Macaca fascicularis: one gene and its partners. The protein of the gene in region 1 interacts with the protein of each later gene in a biochemical or structural test. Links are inferred from orthologs where the notes say so. Each region holds a gene or a part of one and is shown on either strand. Other genes may lie near its edges.

Evidence for each region.
Region 2: of the proteins of PPP2CA (region 1) and MAPT, one has a biochemical effect on the other in vitro, tested with the Homo sapiens proteins (2 studies listed by BioGRID). The link is inferred for Macaca fascicularis from reciprocal best matches to the Homo sapiens genes PPP2CA and MAPT.
Region 3: of the proteins of PPP2CA (region 1) and MID1, one has a biochemical effect on the other in vitro, tested with the Homo sapiens proteins (2 studies listed by BioGRID). The link is inferred for Macaca fascicularis from reciprocal best matches to the Homo sapiens genes PPP2CA and MID1.

What each region holds. Positions count from the first base shown.
Region 1 is NC_088380.1:140,728,492-140,732,142, forward strand, and holds part of PPP2CA (serine/threonine-protein phosphatase 2A catalytic subunit alpha isoform), read right to left. Parts: intron 558-3,651; coding exon 348-557; intron 1-347. UniProt on the Homo sapiens protein: Catalytic subunit of protein phosphatase 2A (PP2A), a serine/threonine phosphatase involved in the regulation of a wide variety of enzymes, signal transduction pathways, and cellular events.
Region 2 is NC_088390.1:67,473,686-67,477,436, reverse strand, and holds the start of MAPT (microtubule-associated protein tau), read right to left. Parts: upstream 2,430-3,751; 5' UTR 2,297-2,429; exon of another isoform or gene 1,856-2,296; intron 1,610-1,855; exon of another isoform or gene 1,354-1,609; intron 844-1,353; exon of another isoform or gene 719-843; intron 1-718. UniProt on the Homo sapiens protein: Promotes microtubule assembly and stability, and might be involved in the establishment and maintenance of neuronal polarity.
Region 3 is NC_088395.1:10,136,028-10,139,678, forward strand, and holds part of MID1 (E3 ubiquitin-protein ligase Midline-1), read right to left. Parts: intron 281-3,651; coding exon 1-280. UniProt on the Homo sapiens protein: Has E3 ubiquitin ligase activity towards IGBP1, promoting its monoubiquitination, which results in deprotection of the catalytic subunit of protein phosphatase PP2A, and its subsequent degradation by polyubiquitination.

The DNA of each region.
Region 1 (3,651 bases):
GCTTCACTATGTTCTCCAGGCTGGTCTCGAACTCCTGACCTCAGGTGATCTGCCTGCCTCAGTGTCCCAAAGTGCTGGGATTACAGGCGTGAGCCATCACACCCAGCCTATTTTTTCAAACAATTTGACTGACGCATTCTTTTTTTCCTTTTGTTTTGATTCTGTACCATCCCCTTACTCAGAATGCAGACGCCTATGATTTGTAAGTCTGAAACCTGAACATACGCATTCCCAAATGTGGAATTTTGTTTTATTTAACATTCAGATAGAGAAAATAATTGGGAAAAAAATATTCAAGAGGACTGTCTTACCCATTTCAACAACCCCCAACATAAAACTGAAATTACCTTAAGAGCTACAAGCAGTGTAACTGTTTCAACTGAATAATATCCTCTGTCAACATAATCTCCCATAAACAAGTAATTTGTATCTGGTGATTTGCCACCAATTCTAAACAGTTCCATGAGATCATGAAATTGCCCATGCACATCTCCACAGACAGTGACTGGACATCGAACCTCTTGCACGTTGGATTCTTTTGTCAGGATTTCTTTAGCCTACAGATGGGAGACAAAAATAAGGCAATACATTTGGCATTAAACAATATTAACAAAGATTTGTTTACTTACACTTAATGTAACTTAAGGGGCAGACTCAGTCTAAGATAAAATTGCAGGCATTTATGATCCCATTAAAATAAGCGAGATATGATTATAATCCATTAGGTATCTCACCCTGTTACCTAGGAAAAAAATGTGCATTCCTATCATCAATACCAGGAGTTTTTAAAAAACCTATCAAATTGCCATCTAAGTAAATACTAATTGTTAGCAGCCACATAAAATCAATGAAAATGGAACAGGACATTCAGGTACCTACTTCCTTACCTTTAGAGTTCTAACTACAATACAGCACTCAAAGATTCAATTTTTTTTTTTTTTGAGACAGGGTCTCATTTTGTCACCCAGGCTGGAGTGCAGTGGTATGATCACAGCTCACTATACCCTGGATCTTCTTGGCTCAGGGAATCTTCCCACCTCCCACCTCAGTAGCGGGGACCACAGGGACACGCCACCATGGCTGGCTAATTTTCACAAACTTCTCTGTAGAGATGGGGTTTCACCACGTTGCACAGGTGTTCTCGAACTCCTGGGTTCAAGTGATCCTCCAGCCTCATCCTCCCAAGGCTTGGGATTACATGCATAATCTACCTCACCTCAGCCCTGTTTGACTTTTTAAAAACATGTTTTTGGCCAGGCACCGTGGCCCATGCCTATGAGAAAATCATTTGCTCAGCCATCTGAGTGACTACTATGTACCAAGTCCCGTGCTAGCAACTGGACATACAGTGGTGAACAAGATGGCTCATTCCCACTACCATAGAGGGAAGAAGGACCACAAACAAGTAACCAAGCCAAAAGTACACTGTGTTAAGTGTCACAAAGGAAAGGGAAAGGGTAACTGGGAGAGACCTCTTTACATAAGATACCAAAACAAAGTACCAGAGAATTGTTGCTAACAAGCCATGACAACCACACATGACAAGGACTGGGTTCAAGGCATTGGTAATGCAATCTTAGCTGCACATCGAAAATCCCAATGCCCAGCCAGGCCCAGTGGCTCACAGCTGTAATCCCAGCACTTCAGGAGGCCGAGGTGGGCGGATCACTTGAGGTCAGGAGTTCAAGGCCAGCCTGGCCATCATGGTGAAACCCCGTCTCCACTAAAAATACAAAAAAATTAGCCAGGCATGGAGCTGCATGACTGTAGTACCAGCTACCTGGGAGGCTGAGGCAGGAGAACTGCTTAAACCTGGGAGGTGGAGGTTGCAGTGAGCCAAGATCTCATCACTGCACTCCAGCCTAGGTGACAGATCAAGACTCTGTCTGAAAACAAAAACAAAAACACCAACGCCCATCCCTTCCCCTAATTAATCAAGTAAGAATTGTGGAGAGTGGAATCAAACCATCAATAATTTTTAAACACCCCAACCCTTCCTTTCCTCAGTGTGCAACCAAGTTTAAGAACCACTATTTTCAAGTCTTCAAACATTTTTGGGGGCCTATTTCAGGATGCCTACCAACCAGTGACATCCCTAAAGTGACCTAACATTTTACTGAGTTTAGAAGAAATTTCCACTGTGCTTTTTTCAATTTACACTGTGGCTCATGCTTATAATCCCAGCACTTTGGGAGGCTAAGGAGGGTGGACGGCTTGAGCCCAGGAGTTCAAGACCAGGCTGGAGTACAGTGGCGTGATCTCGGCTCACTATAACCTCTACCTCCCAGGTTCAAACGATCCTCCTGCCTCAGTCTCCATGAATAACTGGGACCACAGGTGTGCACCATTATGCCTATTTTGTATTTTTTGTAGAGGTGAGGTTTCACCATGTTGTCCAGGCTGGCCTCGAACTCCTGAGCTTAAATGATTTGCCCGCCTCTGCCTCCCAAAGTGCTGGATTACAGGTGTTAGCCACTACAACGGCCTGAGATATCTATTAAGAAATATGTACAACCCATTATTATCAAATCCTACTTCATTTTGAAATTTTTCTCTCCTGGGTAATTCCAGCTTCCCATTAATTATCATGAAAAAACACAAATTCACTAGGCATATTCCATTACCAAGTCTGTCTGGCATTAATACCACATCTAGTGTTTTTTCAGCACCTATCATATATTAATGAAAATAACTGAATGAAATAAGTCCTACACTGAGAAGAAACTTGCCAAAGTTATTCAGAAGTTTTAAAAGGGCATGACATAAGAAAACAGATGGTTATATACCGTGTACATCTTGCCTTGATGTAATTTTCACATTTAAATCTATCAGAAGTTAAATGTTAACATACATCTGTGAATATCTGTTTACCTGCAAGGCTCTCCTCTGTATGAATAATAAAAAATTGACTTTCAGGACTGCCTGAAGTTCCTTACTAAAAGTGACTCAAAATTTCTATTCAAATCATGAAGGAAAATTAAGTTTAAATGCTATTTGTTGCTGTTTTTTATTTCAATTTAGGCAAATCACAACGATAAACACATCTATTTTTTAAACTATACAAATTAGTAATACATTCTTGTAAAAAAATTTGGCACAGATAAAATGAAATGTTCCCTTTGAGCACCCTGCACAATCCCAACCCCTTTGGGCACAGTTACCAATAAAATCCTGATGTACAGATGCTCCTCAATTTGTAACACAGCTGCATCCAGATAATCCTATTGTAAACATAATCGAGTCAAAAGTGTGTTTTCAGCTTACAATGCTTTCAATTTATGATACACTTATCTGGATGTAGGGATGTAGTCCCATCATAAACTGAGGGGTATACTGAATGTCTATCACTTTCACACCATCATTAAGTCGAAAATATCGGGGACTGTCTGTATATCCTTTTAAAACTTTGTTTACAAAGTTTACACACATACTGTATGTCTACAGAAACAGTAGTTTTCCTTTGCATTTTTAAACTAGAAACAATATTGTTCAGCAGCCTGCTTTTCTAACAATACATAATAATATATAACATTTATTGAGACAGCTGGTCAATTTCTCATAGGGGAGGCAGAGTATCCCCTGACCAATTACAATGGCAGAGCAGTGTGAAACGACAGCAATATATATCCTAGTATTTTCTCCTTTGTATAC
Region 2 (3,751 bases), on another chromosome or scaffold:
GAGGAAGGTCAGCCTGGTCCCGGGCGGGCTCTAGTTCCCCAGTCAAGCCATTCCCCGGAAATTCAGATCAACCTGGGCAGCCCGCGTGGAGGATTCAGCTCCTAGATGCTCGTTCGTCTCAGAAGTGCGCCCCCCCGCACCAGTTTTCAGCGATAGAATTAACCAGAAAACGGCGCGTACCAGGTTCATCACAGGAGGGCGAGGCTCGGATGCCTTGGCCAGGAGTTCTCCTTGCAGCCCCAGACTCGGTTTTGGGGGTACGGTGAACTTGGATACGGGTGAAATCCCGCATTTACGATAAATAATATTAATCAGTACAGACATAATATTAATAAAAATACACCCAAGGGCTGCCTATCTGCGGCCGCCAGAGGCCAATTAGAGTCTCAGGTGCAGGGGTTGGGGGCTTCCTCCCGTGTCCTCCAGGAGGCCAACTGGGCGCGGCCCCGCCTACCCCAGGGTCCCCAATCTCCCCAGGGAAGGGGTGGGGCCAGCCCCAAGGTCCCCTCTCCGGACGCCTGTGGTTCCCATGGCAATTCCCCCTCTGTGCCCCCTCCAGTGGGCTCAGAAAAATGGGTGTGGCCGCAGCACCAGTAACCTTATGCCCCCTCCTCACATTCTCCCGCCAGGCGAAGCAACAGGGCGTAAAGCTGGAGAGGCCCCACCGGGGCTCCCCACCCATCCCCGAATGGGTAGCCAGCGTCCCTCGTTGGGCAACCTGGTGTGGCTTGGCCCTCAGGACACTCGGGGTGTTGGGAGGGGCGTGATCCCTCTGCCGCCGCCCGCAGCGCAGCACGGAGACTCGAATCCCATCCCTTCAGAAGCTTCCTGGCGCCCGCAGACTCCGAGACGAGGCTGCGCGCGGTCACGCCCGTTCCATGCGTGCCGGGGGTCGGGGGGTTGACTCGGGTTCGTCGACCCCAGCAAGCCTCGAGATCCAACAATGGGCTCGGAAATGAGGAACGAAAAAGGAAAGAGGTGCTTGGGGGTGGGGGGAGGTTGGCTAAACACCCTCAGAATAAAAGCCAGAAACCAGGGCTGGGAGCGCAGATCACGTAACCTCTACAGACAAAGCAAAGAGCCCCCGAAGAAGGTGCTGGGTGAACGCCCCCAGCGCTCACGCCCGCAGCAGCAAAACGCCAAGATTTCAGCGCTGATTGTCCCCCTCCCTTTAATGCCAGGCCCCGCCCTGTCCTACGAAGCCCGGCCACCCGGTTTGGCATGGCACCGTAAAGACGTGACACGCCGAAAAAAGATGGCACCTCGGGAGTGGGAGGAGGCACAGCCTATCCTCCCCCCTCCTCGCCCACCAGGATCCACACCCACTGCCGCAGTGAGGGGCGAGCCCTGCGCGCCAGCCCCGCGCCTCCGGCAGGGAGCGCACACGCCGGGCACCCTGCGCGCGGAGCGCTGAGAAAGAAACCCGCCCCGAGATGCACCTGCAGCCCCGCGCCCGTCAGTGCATGGCTGCTGCTGTGCCTGCCCGCGAGCGGGGACCGGCGGCCGCCGACTCCGTCCACATCGCCAGGCCAGGTGACCCCTGCCTTTGCGAGCGTGCACACTGGGATCCTCGCACTGTTCTCAGGCACGGCGCTGCTCGCGTCTCTGTGCCAGGCGTGCGCAGGGGGAAGGGCAACTAAAGTGACAGCGCCTGGACCCCTCCCCATCTCCTCGATTCCTCCCAGCCCCCAAATGTCCCCTACGGGTTTCTGAAGGAGGAAAAGGGGAGGGGGCCGGCCCCCGCCTAAAATCAGGGGCAGTGAAGGCCCTGTCGGAATCACTGCTCGGGAGGTAAAGGGAGGGGCGTGCAGGGAGTCAGTCATCTTTTCTAGAACCCGATCCACATCTTCCTTAGGGCTGATGGCGAACAGCGGCAGGGACAGCGGATTTCAGGTTCGGTTTCGGGGGTCGTTATCGGACCCCTCCCCCCCACGCACGCCCATTGCGGCAAAAGACTGCGGTCGAGAGTGAAGGGCAGCCCCCTCCCCCAAGTCACCGCCGCCGCGCCCCACCCTGCCGGCACGGCCTCCACCTGGGGTCGGCGCGAAGCGGGTGAAGACCCTCCAGCACACACACACGCGCGCACTCAGGCGTGCGTGCATCCCTTGCTCACGTCCCTTTCCAGGCCGCCCTGGCCCCAGCCCCCGAGCAGGGGAGGCAAGGAGGGGCCCTGCGGTCGCCCCGACCGATGCCCGGCGCACGAAGCCCCAGTCTGTGGAGGCTGAGGGCGAGGGGCGGCGGCGCAGGGGTGCACAGGGGCGGACGGCGAGGCAGATTTCGGAGCCGCGGCGCTTACCTGATAGTCGACAGAGGCGAGGACGGGAGAGGACAGCGGAGGAGGAGAAGGTGGCTGTGGTGGCGGCGGCAGAAGGTGGGCGGTGGCAGCGGCGCTGCTGTTGGTGCCGGAGCTGGTGGGTGGCGGTGACTGCGAGGGCGCGCGCCGGCGAAGAGGGCGCGTTCCCGAGGCCGGCAGGCGGCGCAGGCGCGAGCAGCGGGAGCGCGAGCCTCCCCAGGGGAGGGGGCGGGCAGCCCGGCCTCCGCGGGAGCCTTCTCCTCCGGCCACCAGTGGGCGCGCGCGAGCGCCCTGCCGCTCGGCTGTCCGGCGCCTCCCGGCTGGTTCCTCTCGGCGCTGCCCTTTCCCGGTGCCCCTCCCCCTACGCCTCAGGCCGCGGCGCTGACCGCAGCGCGCACGCGCGTTCCATGGCGCACGCGCACTCTCCGCCTCCCATAGCTGGAGCCTTTGTCTCGTTGGAGGGGTGGGTGTCTTCCTTCGGGCCCTGCGGGGTCGGGGCAAGGCCAGTGACTCCGCCAGTGGGTCCCCTGCCCCTTTCCTTTCAGTCAGCCTGAGGCGGTGTCCTCTCCTGGAGAGGTCCTGAGCGACCTTCCACGTGGCCAGCTCCCCAGTCCGCCCACCCCGACCCTCCGAGTCCCGAAATCGCCCCCCTGGCTAAGGTCGCTTTTCCCCAGGCTGCTTCCTTTCTCCTTGCTTTTTTCCCATCTTTTTTGTTACTGACCAAGGTGAATCCTTTCCTTAACAAATTCACTTAAAGCAAGCTAACTCAGTTACAATACAGTAGAACTGTACTTTAAAAAAAAGTATTTGGATCTATGATGTATGTAACCGTGACGCTAGAAAAGAAATCTTAAATTAGACCAAATTGAAATAGTGCTTAACACATCGCAGAACATTTGCACACACAGTTATTTGTATCACGTCTTTTGAAACATCTTTATGCTGTAAGTAGAGTTTGAAGTCTGAATGTTTAAGGGCCAGCTGGAGATTGTCCCCTGGAAGAGGCATCTCAGCCTGAAACTGACCAGTGGTCCTCATTCTACTGGTCACCCAGGCCCCAAGCTTCGGCCTTAGCTTGGATTTTTCATTTCCCCAACGTCAAATTTAAGCCCTGGCAGTGGGCGGATTTCTATGTATGGGGGTTTAGGGCAGCCGTCTCCTCCTAGGGAGATGGGAAGTTGTCTTGAAGCTCCAATTTGCATGGTTCTTACATTATTTTTTAAAAACCAACATATGTTATAGATTAATAGAAAAAGCAAGTAAAATGCTTTATTCACACTGAGTTTCTGGAACTGACCTTTTTCTTTCTTTCTTTTTTTTTTTATCCATATTAACTTTATTTTTAAACAGAGGGGCATATATCCAAAGAAGTAGGAGTGAGAACCACCGTGGGGGCTTGCTGAAAGCGATCTGCCCTAGCCTTCTGACTTCAGAATGTCTCATGAGCCAATGGCCTGG
Region 3 (3,651 bases), on another chromosome or scaffold:
GTTCCACACGGTGAAGGTGGGGCACACAGGCTGCGCAAATGCGACGTCGAAGGTGTAGAGGTGGATGGAGTTCAAAGCATCATAAAAGGCGATAGAGCCGTTATCATAGTCCAGCAGGATGCCCACGCGCCGGAGGTGGGGAGCAGGCTCAATGGGGATTTCCTTGCTATTGTGTCTCACCACCCAGTTATTGTTGCAGCGGCAGAGCGCCCAGGAAGCAGAGTTCTTCCCAATCCATTCATGCTTCGGGGCTGATTTATAAGCAAGACCAATAGCATACCTGCAGAAACAAAACAGCAACAACAAAAACAATGAGCCATGTTGCATATGCACATTAAATCCGTTCTGTGGTCCTCAGGGGTTATAAAAACATGATCATTTGTTGTCCCTGTTCATTTTCTTTAAGTGAAAGCTTGGCAAGAACCCCAACATCTGTGTTCCTCATCTCCTTCCCTCACAAACAGGGAAAGAAGCATCATATTTACCCACATTTCTGTTTTCAGCTCAAACACTACAGAGAATTTGAACTTTGTATTTTGCTGCTTTTTTTCACTTTTATAAAAATCTACACAATGAATTCGCTAGACCAGTGCTGACCAAAAGAACTTTCTTCAATGATTGAAATGTCCTGCTCTCCTCGATGTGGTAACCACAAGCTACATATGGCTACCGGGCACTTTAGCTGCAGCTGGTGAGACTGAGGAACTGAACTTTAAATTTATTTAATTTTCATTAAGTTAAATGATTTAAATAGCTGCATGTGGCTCATAGCTACCATATTGGACAGCACAACCCTAGACTTCTCCTTTTGACCTTCTTATAATTTTTAATTTAACACTATGTCTGTCATTTTCTGATTCTGAAAGCATTTTGCCAAGGGCAAGCACAGAAGATGATTTCCATTTGTGGGGATAAGTCCTTTGTCATTACTCAGCCCCAGTTTTCTCATGTATACCACAGGGACAACGATAGTCTCCATCTTGCAGTGTGTGATTTTAAGGAGTAAAGGAGAGAATACGTGTTAAGTCCTAGGCACAGGACCTGGCATGCAATATTTAGTAACTGCTATTTTATTATTATTGCCTGATGGCACATATTAACAATAAGTACCAGAATCAGAATTTGAACTTAGGATGACTCAAAACCCACAAACACGAACTACATTCTACAATGCCAACCATAACCAGAAATTGTGCAGTCCATCACTGCCAAGAGCCTTTCTGATTATATTTCCTACTACACCGAAAAAAAATTCTGAATGTGTTTGAGCAGACGATCTTCTGGTTATTCTAAATGTTCTCTTGCTGCTCAAAAAAAAAAAAAAAAAAAAAAAAAAAAAAAATCCAAAGAATGCTTTCTACAATGTTTGTTCTAAGCTTCTTAGTCTCTTTTTACCCCTCTGAAGCATGCCTCTGTAATATTCATAGTATTTCAGTTATTAAGATAAACAAAACCCATCACTCTTAATAAACAGTAAATGACTCACAGGTGAACTTTTAATATGTTATAGCAGAAACCAGCCTAACTGGATATTAACACATGGTATCTTACCCAATGCAGAGAGAAAAATTTCATGGATCTTTAATAAAATGACATTCTTTAAAAAAATCACACTGGACTTAAAATACAATCACTTTAGGAGTGGTGTGTTTAAAAAGAAAATTAATACACCATGCCATCATTAAATCCAAAAGGAGGATGGAATTGATAATCTGCCAAGCCCAGTGTGCAGGCCTGTCTGTCATCAGTGTTGCATCTTCTCTTCCCTCCCATCCATCCTCTCCTGCTTATGAGGAGAATCCAAGTTGCATTTCCCAGAATCCCCTTTCCTGTAGGAGTCTGAGTCAGGCTCTGCTATTGTGATGCCTTTGCACAAGATCCAGAAGTGCTTAGAGGAGGGGAAACACTCTTTCCTGATGGCAGACAGTAGATGTGCAGTTGGTGGAAGCTTCTAGATGAGCACCTGAGTACACCTGCCTTGTGCTGTGGGCAATTTTGCAGCAGCTACAGCTCATCATGACTCCACGAACTAGAGCAGCAGACTCCCGGACTTTGTGCCCCAGCCCTTCCAGGGTCCTGTAAGCTTCTGGGTCCCTTCCTCTGGGGAGTGCATCAAGGGTCTCAAATGTCATCTGTTTATTTGATACATTGATATGGTTTGGCTATGTCCCCACTCAAATCTCATCTTGAATTCCCACATGTTGTGGGAGGGACCCGGTGGGAGGAAACTGAATCATGGGGGCAGGTCCTTTCAGTGTTCTTGTGATAGTGAATAAGTCTCACGAGATCTGATGGTTTTAAAAAGGGGGAGTTTCCCTGCACAAGTTCTCTTTTTGCCTGCTGCCATCCATGTAAGACGTGGCTTGTTCCTCCTTGCCTTCTGCCATGATTGTGGGCTTTCCCAGCCACATGGAACTGTTAAGTCCATTATAAATCTCTTTTGTAAATTGCCCTATCTTGGTTATATCTTTATCAGCAGCATGAAAATGGACTAATACATACACTTTGGAAAGGTTTTCATTTTGCAATTGTCAGTATCTCCCACTCCCTAAAATGTTCTGTATACCCCAGTAAATACCATTTTCATCTTTCAGATAATTTGGAACCTGCATTTGCATCACAAAATCACCACATCTGTATTGTTTCCTTCTTGTTGTGACACAGCATTTTTATTTTTTATTACTTTGATGTTTATTTCCCATTTGAACCTTAACTGAACCCTATGAAATAGCTGTGGCAGGTATGGCTGACTACATGTAGCAAATAGAAACAGAATATTAAAATTGGGAGCAAAATCCAGAGTTGTATGCTGCCCCCACCCCTTCTGGTCTAATAATCTTTGCATGAATCCGTTATTACTCGTTTAGTTAACACCATTTCATAAAACACCAAGTGCACGGCCGGGCGCGGTGGCTCAAGCCTGTAATCCCAGCACTTTGGGAGGCCGAGACGGGCGGATCACGAGGTCAGGAGATCGAGACCATCCTGGCTAACCCGGTGAAACCCCGTCTCTAGTAAAAAATACAAAAAAAAAAATAGCCGGGCGAGGTGGCGGACTACTCCCTGTAGTCCCAGCTACTCGGGAGGCTGAGGCAGGAGAATGGCGTAAACCCGGGAGGCGGAGCTTGCAGTGAGCTGAGATCCGGCCACTGCACTCCAGTCTCGGCGACAGAGCAAGACTCCGTCTCAAAAAAACAAACAAACAAAACAAAACAAAACAAAAAAAACACCAAGTGCACATTAGCATCAGAGAGTAAGAAAATAACTAAGTGTATAGTCCATTAAGCAAAGGAAAATACCATTATAGTATCATTAATCTGTGAAACTAGGTACATATTTCCATTGAGCTTGAAAGGTGTAGGCAGAATGTAATGTTCCATTAAGTTATGCAGTGAGACACGGAGAATTCAAAGTATAAAAATTATGTCTCTCAGGGCAATGTTAACATGCCCCATTGCACAGATCATAATGTACACATTAATTTAAAGTCAGGACTATATTTGACAAGCAAATATATGTCATTAGCTGTTGCAAATCAAGATGTCACAGGCATTTAATTGTAGGGGGCACCCCTTCCTTGCTAATACCCCCCAGGAAATGTAAAGTGACTTTCTACATGAAGATTTTTCTGAAATTGACACAGTTAAGTTT